Arabidopsis thaliana: one gene and its partner. The protein of the gene in region 2 interacts with the protein of the main gene of each other region in a pairwise test. Each region holds a gene or a part of one and is shown on either strand. Other genes may lie near its edges.

Region 1 (4,960 bases), on a different chromosome or scaffold from region 2:
GTGTACAAAGATGGTTTTTCCACAGATTGGTCTGCTGTGGTGAATTACATATCTGATTCTCAGCCTGATTGCATCCAGAATTTCTTATCTAGGTACACATTCCAAGTCTCCATTCATTCAATCACGGTGAGGCGTCACGTTCAGCTTCAAACCTCATGCGACAGATAGACAAGACAATTAGAAACCAGCTATCGACAATCCAAAAGAAAGGGGAACTTCGACTCGAAAAGGGGCTGCAAGTATGGTTCGCCATGCGTCCTTAGCATCCTCCAAGAAAGAAGACTCTGTTTTTGCTCTCTCCATTCTATTTACTCTGTTTTTGTTCTAGTTCTGTTTTCTTTTATTATCAAAATCTCAAAAAAGCTGATGTAAAAAGTATATTTTTCTTTTGAATATAATTTGACATTTTATTCAAAAAAAAAAAAAAGGATCTATGAGCAGAGCAAACCTTATGCATCTTCTTCATACCCAACTTTCTCATATGGATGTTAAAGTTTCTAAAATAGCACTTAATCTGCATTATTATTGGCTAAAATGTAGAGCACGCGAAAATTCTGGGCGTGTAACATGAAGAAAGTGAATTTTTTATATATAATAAGAAACATAGGACTGGATCAGACTGGGAACCAAGATGAATATTCATAATGGTGAATCCTTACAAAAGACTACACAGACACAACAAATGAGTTTTGAGACCGTGACTAGGTTGATTAGAGATCTCAAATGCTAGAGTCATCATCAACCCAGAAACAAGAATCCTACTTTTACTGACACTCTTGATTGTTACACGCAGAAATAATAAAGACACAGGAAAAGAGAATTAACTGAACTCTTCAAGACTTTTAAAATGGACTCACATGATGGTGCATCGGCCCTTTTCTTCGTTTGGTTGCGCTGGCATTTGCTGGAACCGGTGTGACTCTGAGGGATTGTATGTGAACTCAGATGTGTCAAGCCCATACTGTTTCAAAAAAAAAAGCAATCAGTGAATCTCGGTATCGCACTAATGCTTTTTTTTAATTTCAGCACGTTATAATCTTGTTACCTTTTCCCTCATACGTGCACTCCAAGGGTCACTGCGGCTTGGGCGTTGGTCCAAAGTAGGAGCAACTGGGACACCAGTGACAGGGGCGGCTTGGCGGTTGATGAATGGCTGCCTGATTTGTTGCCTTGGAGCAAGATATTCATCATCACTGTCATACTCTGCTGGTGTATTAGCTGCCCTGACCATAAGGGCAAGCAAGAAGAGTAAAGCCTGCGAGTAAACAAGACATCATTAAGAGTTTTTAAAGATGACATGTTTCTATTGCCATACAACAGTCTACAAACACTTCCGCAGGGATATTTATCTTTCAAAGATAGTTTGTTCTTGATTTTCAATGATAGTCTGAACTTGTGCTTGCTATTACCTCGAAAACAACTGCTCCTAGAGCTACCCATCTTACAATCTTCCAGTTCTCTCTAAGGAAATTATATATCGTATCGAAGTTTCCAGTCCTGTCAGAAGGAAGTTCCTAGAGAACAATAATACAAAACGGTTAGCTAAGTACTTGTGCAGTCCTGTCTGCAGATCATGTCAAGTTATAAGGCAACATGAAGTCTAACCCAAGAGGGAAACAGACAAAAAAAGAAGATAACTCACATCTCTCCAGCTGTTATCGAAGAAAATAAATGCTGCGAATCCAAGCTCCACCAAGATCAACAAGATCAGAAGAAGAGAGTACTATTCTCAATTAAGGAAATGAAAGGTTAAGACTTTTAGTTTGCTTAAGGATCCTATCATAACTAAGCAAAGATACCAATAACCTGAGCATATAACTAAAGGTCAAGGCAGTATTTATCTAACAGGAAATGTTGGATAAGAAAAGCAAGTTAAGTAATTAGGATACGCAAGATAAGCAGCAGACACTCCTCGAACAAGTACCAACACAGCCACAGCAAGAAATAACAAAGAGAGCCACACCAATACCAATGAACAAGTATATGAACCTGCATGATAAAACAAAATCAAAGAACATAAGAACTAAAGAAGTGCAACAAACCAAGACTCTGTTTTTGAACCCAATATATAAAGTAAAAGACGATAATCACATACCACGCTTTGGGAAGATTGTCAAAGATATTAGAAGACAGTGACACAGCCATAAGAATAGGCCTCCCAAACGAAACGTAACTTTGATCTCCATTAGTCAAATCGAATGTAACAGAATTATCGGTAACTCTCTTGTACTCAACGAATAAATAGATACCATAACCAATCATGCCAAGTCCAGCAACAGCCAGGAGAAAGTTGAGTAACTTCAACAAACACTCCAAACAACCTCTACAAGCCATCTTTTTTTTGTTTTCACGACTTAGAACTGTTGTATGATTTACACTCAGCGTTTCCCTTTAATTCATCAGTCCAAAGAATTATCCTAAAAGAACAAAAAACTAAATTTCAATGAGTTCATAATAACAATCCCAAAGATAGATCAATGATAAAGATTCTATCTAAAATATCATCAAAACTAAGAAATGAATTTTGACTAAAAATCAAACTTCAATGAAATTGTGATGTCCTGCCCAAATTCAATTGCTATACACACGAATCAAGCCTCTCATAGAGCTGAGAATGAGAGATACACCAATTAATTTTCTCTAATCGACATAAAAAACGACCAAATCACAGAGATATCTCGTAATCTAAGAGAAATGATTCCACCAATTTTTTTTTCCGTGAACAAAATTACGAACGAATAAGTTCAGATCGGGAGAACAAAATCGAAATTACGCAATCGAAGCACGAGATTGAGAGAGTGGAAGAAGAAGATGATGGAAACTTACGGAGAATTGTTGAGAGATGATTCTTCGATGTTCGCGATGGTTTTGAGTTTTTTTGTGTTGTTGTTGTTCTTGTCGCCGAGAGGAAGGGGATGAAAAATCCAAGGATGGGAAAATATTTGTTTGGAATTTTGCTGTGTCATACAAATGCCAGCTGGCAATTTAAATTTGAAGATGAAGTGACAAGTCCAATGGGTAGATAGGCCATTTTAGTTTTTCAGGAGCCCAACTACGAATACGTGTGTCGTTGAATAATTTCAGTTTACAGATTCTTTATCCTTTCTGATTTCTGTCGGCAATTAAAATTAGTTTTGTGTGGAATGGAATGTACTACACATGTCTATATGTCCTAAAGACTCCAAGACATTACAAAATACAAAGCTTTAGTTTTATTTTTTTGAAGTTAAATTTACAAGCACTTTTAATATTTACGTATAAAATCTTTTCTGAAAATAATTGAAGATTTGTGTAGTCCGTTCGATTTGTTTACAAAAGGAAGCTATGATAGAGCGAAATTAACACGAAAATGAAAATGCTTTGTTCATCGCCTAAAAGGCAGCTTAAAGGATTTGTCTATCCTACGAAATTGTCACGAGCTTTCACGAACCAAGACTGTTCTGTGGGTTAAACAATATTTTTATCGAGAAAACGTATTTTGTATGTTTATGATCTGCGTTAAATATCTTATCAATTTTTTATTACCTTGTCCGTCAAAATATCCAAAAAATAATTTAGAAATTCGGTTTATAAAAATGTTGTTTTCAAAGTTTAATTGTTAGAATTGATAATCTCATAATGATCATTTCGAAAAACCAAAAAAATTATCACATTGTATGAAGGATTTTGACAAAATTTTATTCGGAAAATCACTCTCAACAACATAAATAAACAAAAAAAGTTTGTTTTATATAAAAAAAATCAGTATAAATAGGTAAATGGGATTACTTTACACACTAAAAAGTACCAATTTGAGTTAATACTAAGATTTTGGGTTGGACATTAATACATCAAAGTCACCGATTCTCATTTGAACAACTTCACTTCTCCGATCAACGATCAATAAACGTAACAATCACTCCGATGTTCCTAAAACACCAAAATGATAAAGCGTTAGCTCTCGAGATGAGAGAACTTAGTTATGAATTGTTTTTGGGTTTTTAGATTTTTACAAAAAATTAGTAGTCAGATTAGTAGTCGGAAAATCACTCTCAACAACATAAATAAACAAAAAAAGTTTGTTTTATATAAAAAAAATCAGTAGTCAGATTACTTTACACGCAGTCAGATTAGTAGTCGGAAAATCACTCTCAACAACATAAATAAACAAAAAAAGTTTGTTTTATATAAAAAAAATCAGTAGTCAGATTACTTTACACGCAGTCAGATTAGTAGTCGGAAAATCACTCTCAACAACATAAATAAACAAAAAAAGTTTGTTTTATATAAAAAAAATCAGTATAAATAGGTAAATGGGATTACTTTACACACTAAAAAGTACCAATTTGAGTTAATACTAAGATTTTGGGTTGGACATTAATACATCAAAGTCACCGATTCTCATTTGAACAACTTCACTTCTCCGATCAACGATCAATAAACGTAACAATCACTCCGATGTTCCTAAAACACCAAAATGATAAAGCGTTAGCTCTCGAGATGAGAGAACTTAGTTATGAATTGTTTTTGGGTTTTTAGATTTTTACAAAAAATTAGTAGTCAGATTAGTAGTCGGAAAATCACTCTCAACAACATAAATAAACAAAAAAAGTTTGTTTTATATAAAAAAAATCAGTAGTCAGATTACTTTACACGCAGTCAGATTAGTAGTCGGAAAATCACTCTCAACAACATAAATAAACAAAAAAAGTTTGTTTTATATAAAAAAAATCAGTATAAATAGGTAAATGGGATTACTTTACACACTAAAAAGTACCAATTTGAGTTAATACTAAGATTTTGGGTTGGACATTAATACATCAAAGTCACCGATTCTCATTTGAACAACTTCACTTCTCCGATCAACGATCAATAAACGTAACAATCACTCCGATGTTCCTAAAACACCAAAATGATAAAGCGTTAGCTCTCGAGATGAGAGAACTTAGTTATGAATTGTTTTTGGGTTTTTAGATTTTTA
Region 2 (5,455 bases):
TTAATGTTTCATCTATGTCACTAGTTTCAAGCTCAACATACTCCAGAAAACGTAAAGAGTTTGATAGATTTTTGTAAATTGGAACTAGAATTGATTCGATAACCAAATGATATGATTATTCAACACAAGCGTAACATGTGGATTCGAGCATATCAGCACACAAATTCATACAAAATTTTCGTCATTTTTACAGGCTAAAAAAGCAGCGAAACTCCAGAAAAGAAGAAGAGAATCAAGAGGAAGACGAGAGCGAGAGAGAAAAGACCTCAGTCGTCGAAGAAAACAAAAACAGAGTTAGGGCTGATTTGTGGAGTTGTCACTGTAAAATCACATATAAATATTAATGTGAGCGACCATTTTTGGAAAATCAGGTCCAAGGCCCAATAAGTTATTTCCAGCCCATGTAATACCGAGGTAATGCAAATGATTCTCAATTTAATCATTTTATGTTGTGTAAACCCTCTTTTTGCTTGGTTTTCTCGGTTTACGTAGTTTCTTTCTTCACTGGGACTTAGTTTTATGGAAAAGCTTAAGTATATACAAATCATTAGGAGAAGAAGATGTAACAGTTGACAAAAGCATAAAGGAAACTGGAGAAGAGCATTCGTTTATTTTTTACCAAACATAACATAACAATCAACCATCGACGCAACAAATGTTAAACCTCTTGTACTACTGACCAGATTTTTCAAAGTAGCAGAAGAGCAATTTATAATTTTAACAGACATAAACTACCAAACCAAAAGTCACGGCGGGCTACAACAACTAAAAGCTGTAAAATCATTTATATGAACGTGCATTCCAAAAACTCACGCAGATTCCACACCGATTTCTTCTTCACCTTTCATTTTTTGCCCCAATTTTTTTTTTAATCTTTACTCTTCTCTTAAACAGCATCATACTCACCGTGTGAGATGGTTCAGTGACAAAGGTTTCTACTGGATCGGATGGTATTGAGCTGATACTCTCTTTGGAGGTAGCTTTCGGAGAATGAAGAGGACTAGTGCCGATGGAAGTACTTCTACCACCTGTAGTTTTTTTTTTTTCGAGTTAATGAATGAGAATAAGAAAGAGAAAGAATGAAGATGTAGTGTTACTTACCATATAGTAGATTAAGTTCAGAACCGGATGATCAAGAACATCAAGTGTTAAATCCTTGTCAAAAGCTGATACAGCCACCTGATGTTTGCATGGAATACATTAAATAACACATCACAGGATAACTAAAACAATGACGGAAGCTAAAGATTTAATTTTGAGCTTACCACAACGCATCTTATGAGGAAGCAGGTGAAGCATATAGCTGTCACAGATCCAACCTGCAATGAAAAGAGACGAATATTTGAAGGTAGAAATGTTTGGGTTCAAAGTTTTATGGAACTATATAAGACAAATTATTCACATACAGATATATGAATCTAAGTACCTCGTGGAGTTTCTTCCTTCTTCCTTTTGACTCGATAGGGAACCTTCTTAGCATGAAAAACAATCTATGGCATAAAAAAAAACACATAAGAAAAGACGGCCCAGTAAAGCCAATGAAGAACTTGCAGACATTTTGATGATGAGACATATGAAAATAACAAAAACACAGACCTTCCTCCATACAGCAAGAAGCCTAATGCGGCGATGAAAGACACAACTAGAAGAAGAAGATTAACCAAAAGAATAGGTCAATATAGATTTTAGATAAGAGAGGGAATATTATAGATTAAGCAGTAAAGGTTTTAGCAAACTTGCTTGACCAGACAAAGAACCTACCTGCGATAAATATCTTTCCAACTAACTCCACAGTGCTGTTATCATGTACCCAGATGTATGCCCAGATACCAATCTGATAGAGACATCAAATACATGTCAAACTTATTCTACATCTTTTGATTCACCTAAAATGTCTAGTGACTAAGGTCACACAGATTCTTGGTAGCAAAGAATGGTTACAGAGTTAATGAAAGAAGGACAAGGTAGGAAACACGCACAATCTACAGTTTCGAAACACCAATAATTGCAAAAGATGTATATAAATGGATCTCAGGAAACTCAGCAACTACAACATAAACGGGAATTAAAAAAAAAAGAAGCTAAAAATCAGATATGAACCTGAGCCAAATATACAGCCACGTTGACAGAAATATAGGTTATCCGCAGCTTATCTGTAGGTAAGCTTCTAGCCTGCTCATTAGTGGCAACAAAATATATACTCAGAGCTTGTTGGCAGGTTTAAAAGACAGTCAACACACATCAAAAATTTCTTTTTAGGTACCTGGTGATATATCTCTGCCCAGAACAGCACAAGCAGCGTGTATGCCGAGAAAAAGAGAAGGCCAGGAAGATCCAATAGTACCCAGCAAAGAGCCTGCATTACCTCACAGAAACATTAGATACTTAAAAAGATGCAGCTTTCAAAATCCACCATTTCCAAATCAAACATGCAAAAACCAGAACTAAGTTGAGAACACTCTCACCTTGGGATGAACAAGAAATACTTGCATGTGAAATCCAAACAGAACCGCACGAACTGCACACACACAACAGAGAAATTCAACAAAACATAATCCCAAAGGTGCTGACAAACACAAAAACCCTATCAATTGGTCAATAGAAACACACAATAATCACCTCCATTGACGACAAAGTTCATAAGATGAAACACCTTCTGAGTAGTCCAACCATACTCAGGCACTCTCATTTGGATCCTTATCAGTTGAACCTACCAATCATAATCCCATTTCAAACAAAAGGTCAGAAATTGCAACACAACTAACTAAACCCAGAAATAAACTACAGAAACAATCAATCAAACTATACAATGAGTAAGTATTTCAAAGCTCAATGATTTAGATAGAAAACGATGTCTCAACAACAAAGGTCACCTCTTTTGTTAAACAGAAGAGGAAAGATATGTCAAACACGCTAAGAAATTGATCTATAAACCTAAAAGCAAGCATTTTTAGAAAACTAATTTCACTCCCAAACAAAAAATTTCATGTATTACGAAGAAATTTGAAAGCCATACAAGAGCAACGGCGGAAACAAGAGCATAAGCACCACAAAGAGCGAAAAAGATCCCATCTTGCCACTGAGTTGACTCATTAACATCATCCCACCAACTCGTAATCGCCGTGGTTAGAATTCCAGCAATCTCCGCCGGCATCATTAGACCCGAATCCGTCATTCTCTCCTCCAGGATATCAGCTATGCTGGTGGTGGGGATTAGACTCTAATCTCGAAAATCGAGAAACCCTAATCTCTCAGCTCTTCGAAATCCAGAGAGGCGAAACAAAGGGAATGAGGATTGAGTTGTTTGAATATCTGCAAACTCACATCACAGGTCAGATGGAAGAGAAAGAGAGAGAGAGAGATGATGATGAAGGAAAGATCCAACGGTTGAGATTGATGCGATCTTTTCGATAGTGTAGCTTCTGGCTTGTTCCCTCACACGTCCTCTGAATTATTTTATCATTTGTTTTGGTCATTTAATATTTCACCTCTCTATTTTTGGGTTCAAATTTGTTGAATTTCATATATGCATGATTTGTTACTAAGAAGTCAGAATTATAAAAACAAGACATGTTTTTCTCTGATAAAAAAACATAAGATCTTTATTGTATAAAATCTTTTATTTATAGGGTTAGGTGTTATTTTTTTCTTTTTTGATACATGGGATTCTATGTTTTAACTATTTTGAGTGAATCCAAATTTGACCCCAAAAAAAGAAAAAAAAACATGTACATTATTAACAATATTTTTTTCTAATGATAGAGATGTGATGAGAAAGAGAACTGTGAGCTCGTTTAGTCAAAAAAGAAGTTTCAAAACGTCTTTTAATTTGATTTGTCACCATATAATAATTATGAATTATTTATCTATTTCCATAAAAATATATTATAGACATATTTTAGATGTTATTCTAGATGGAAAATGCGAAAAGAGTAGAGTTGGGTTTAATACAAATGTTCGAACTAAAACTTAGTGGTACCAGCAGCTTTTAATTGGTAGGTCTATCTAATCTTTAAGGAATTCTCCATATATATTTCGATATTCTTATAGTAGAATTATTGTCATTGTGACCAAAAAAAAAACGAATACAAATGAAGGATAATATATATTTTCATTCAATCTGTTAAAACGAGTTAATTTCAGTAATATGAAGATTTAAGAATTATAAATTATTCATATACATATTTGAAATCGTGTAACACATGCCATAAGATATTGTTTTGTAACAAGGTGAGTTAGGTAGGCGGCTTGACCGTGTATGAGTGTTGGAGACGTGTTGATGATACTTGCTTGATATATCCGGAATTTTGTAGACATAAAAACGTGTGTGCGTCAATAAGGGCTTGTTCGGACACTTTTAGTTGTTATATAAGGTTCATAAAATCATAGTATTATTCCGTTTAAAATTACGACAAAAGGAACAAAAGAATGAAACGAACAAAAACTGATGAATTCATCAAAGAATCTAATGAAAGAAACGTAGAACGTGTATTATAAACAAAAATTTCAATCATTTCGATTTTGACCGTCCATGTGGCTTCATCATCACTTTCCACCTCAAATTTCGTCAGAACTAGACAAATCTTTAGCATTCCGAAAACGGCCAAGCCATGACATAATTTTGTAGACCACCGCAGCGCAAACTACGGGTTCTTGTTGTATAGAGACAGCAAGAGTTTGCTGTAGTTGAACTCAACAGCCATCAAAATACGTTCGCTCCATTCTCTTATTGATCTCTGGATTCTATGTGTTGTACATGACTGTGTGAAGATTATTAAGTATCCAACACTATGATCTCGGAATCGAAGCAATGGTTCTTCTCTCCTTGTATCGAGCTCCATAAGCGTGTTGAAGTCATTAACCAACTGAGAAACCCACAAAATTCAACAAGATCTTTTATAACCAGAATTCAAGAGCTAAGGAACTTTTCATTAGTGGTCCATATTGGAGTTGTGTGCTCTCAAACTCTAGTTGATGAATTAATCAGGTGGCTACTACGTACAGAGCCAAGAGCAAAATCTTAGTCACCTGTGACAAATATGATAACATCGTCTCTTTTTTGGAATTCAAGATGTGAGCTCTTGTCCAAGTTTTGTATAACGTCACCTTCAAATCCATGTTCACTGTTCCAACAAGACCAGTTTCAGAGTAAAAAATATATACAAGCACAATTTTGTTTTAGCATCAACAAAGTTGAGGCCTGAAAATAAAGTACTCGAGCATTTGAAGATTGACTTTTGACTTGTGCTACGTAGGATCCATATATATGTGGAATATAAAGGTATTCGACGATATACCACGTTTAAACCGGGAATAGAACCGAATCCAAATTTGAATATAGACCAGACCGGATCAAACGAAAAAGGAATTCCTTGAGCATAAACTTTTTTTTCTTTTTTCATTTTAAAAGTTCGAATATATGCTCATTGACATTGTAACTTGTAAGTATGTAACA

Evidence for each region. Proteins that work in one complex are often made in the same cells at the same time.
Region 1: the proteins of TOM1 (region 2) and TOM2A interact in a protein complementation assay, tested with the Arabidopsis thaliana proteins (one study listed by BioGRID).

What each region holds. Positions count from the first base shown.
Region 1 is NC_003070.9:11,688,540-11,693,499, forward strand, and holds TOM2A (tobamovirus multiplication 2A), read right to left. Parts: upstream 3,050-4,960; 5' UTR 2,827-3,049; exon of another isoform or gene 2,418-2,826; 5' UTR 2,335-2,417; coding exon 2,096-2,334; intron 1,990-2,095; coding exon 1,890-1,989; intron 1,724-1,889; coding exon 1,643-1,723; intron 1,515-1,642; coding exon 1,410-1,514; intron 1,256-1,409; coding exon 1,046-1,255; intron 962-1,045; coding exon 854-961; 3' UTR 525-853; downstream 1-524.
Region 2 is NC_003075.7:11,567,644-11,573,098, reverse strand, and holds TOM1 (tobamovirus multiplication 1), read right to left. Parts: upstream 3,576-5,455; 5' UTR 3,176-3,575; coding exon 3,017-3,175; intron 2,711-3,016; coding exon 2,620-2,710; intron 2,519-2,619; coding exon 2,466-2,518; intron 2,357-2,465; coding exon 2,264-2,356; intron 2,173-2,263; coding exon 2,101-2,172; intron 1,835-2,100; coding exon 1,762-1,834; intron 1,643-1,761; coding exon 1,597-1,642; intron 1,491-1,596; coding exon 1,427-1,490; intron 1,320-1,426; coding exon 1,266-1,319; intron 1,180-1,265; coding exon 1,102-1,179; intron 1,029-1,101; coding exon 936-1,028; 3' UTR 504-935; downstream 1-503.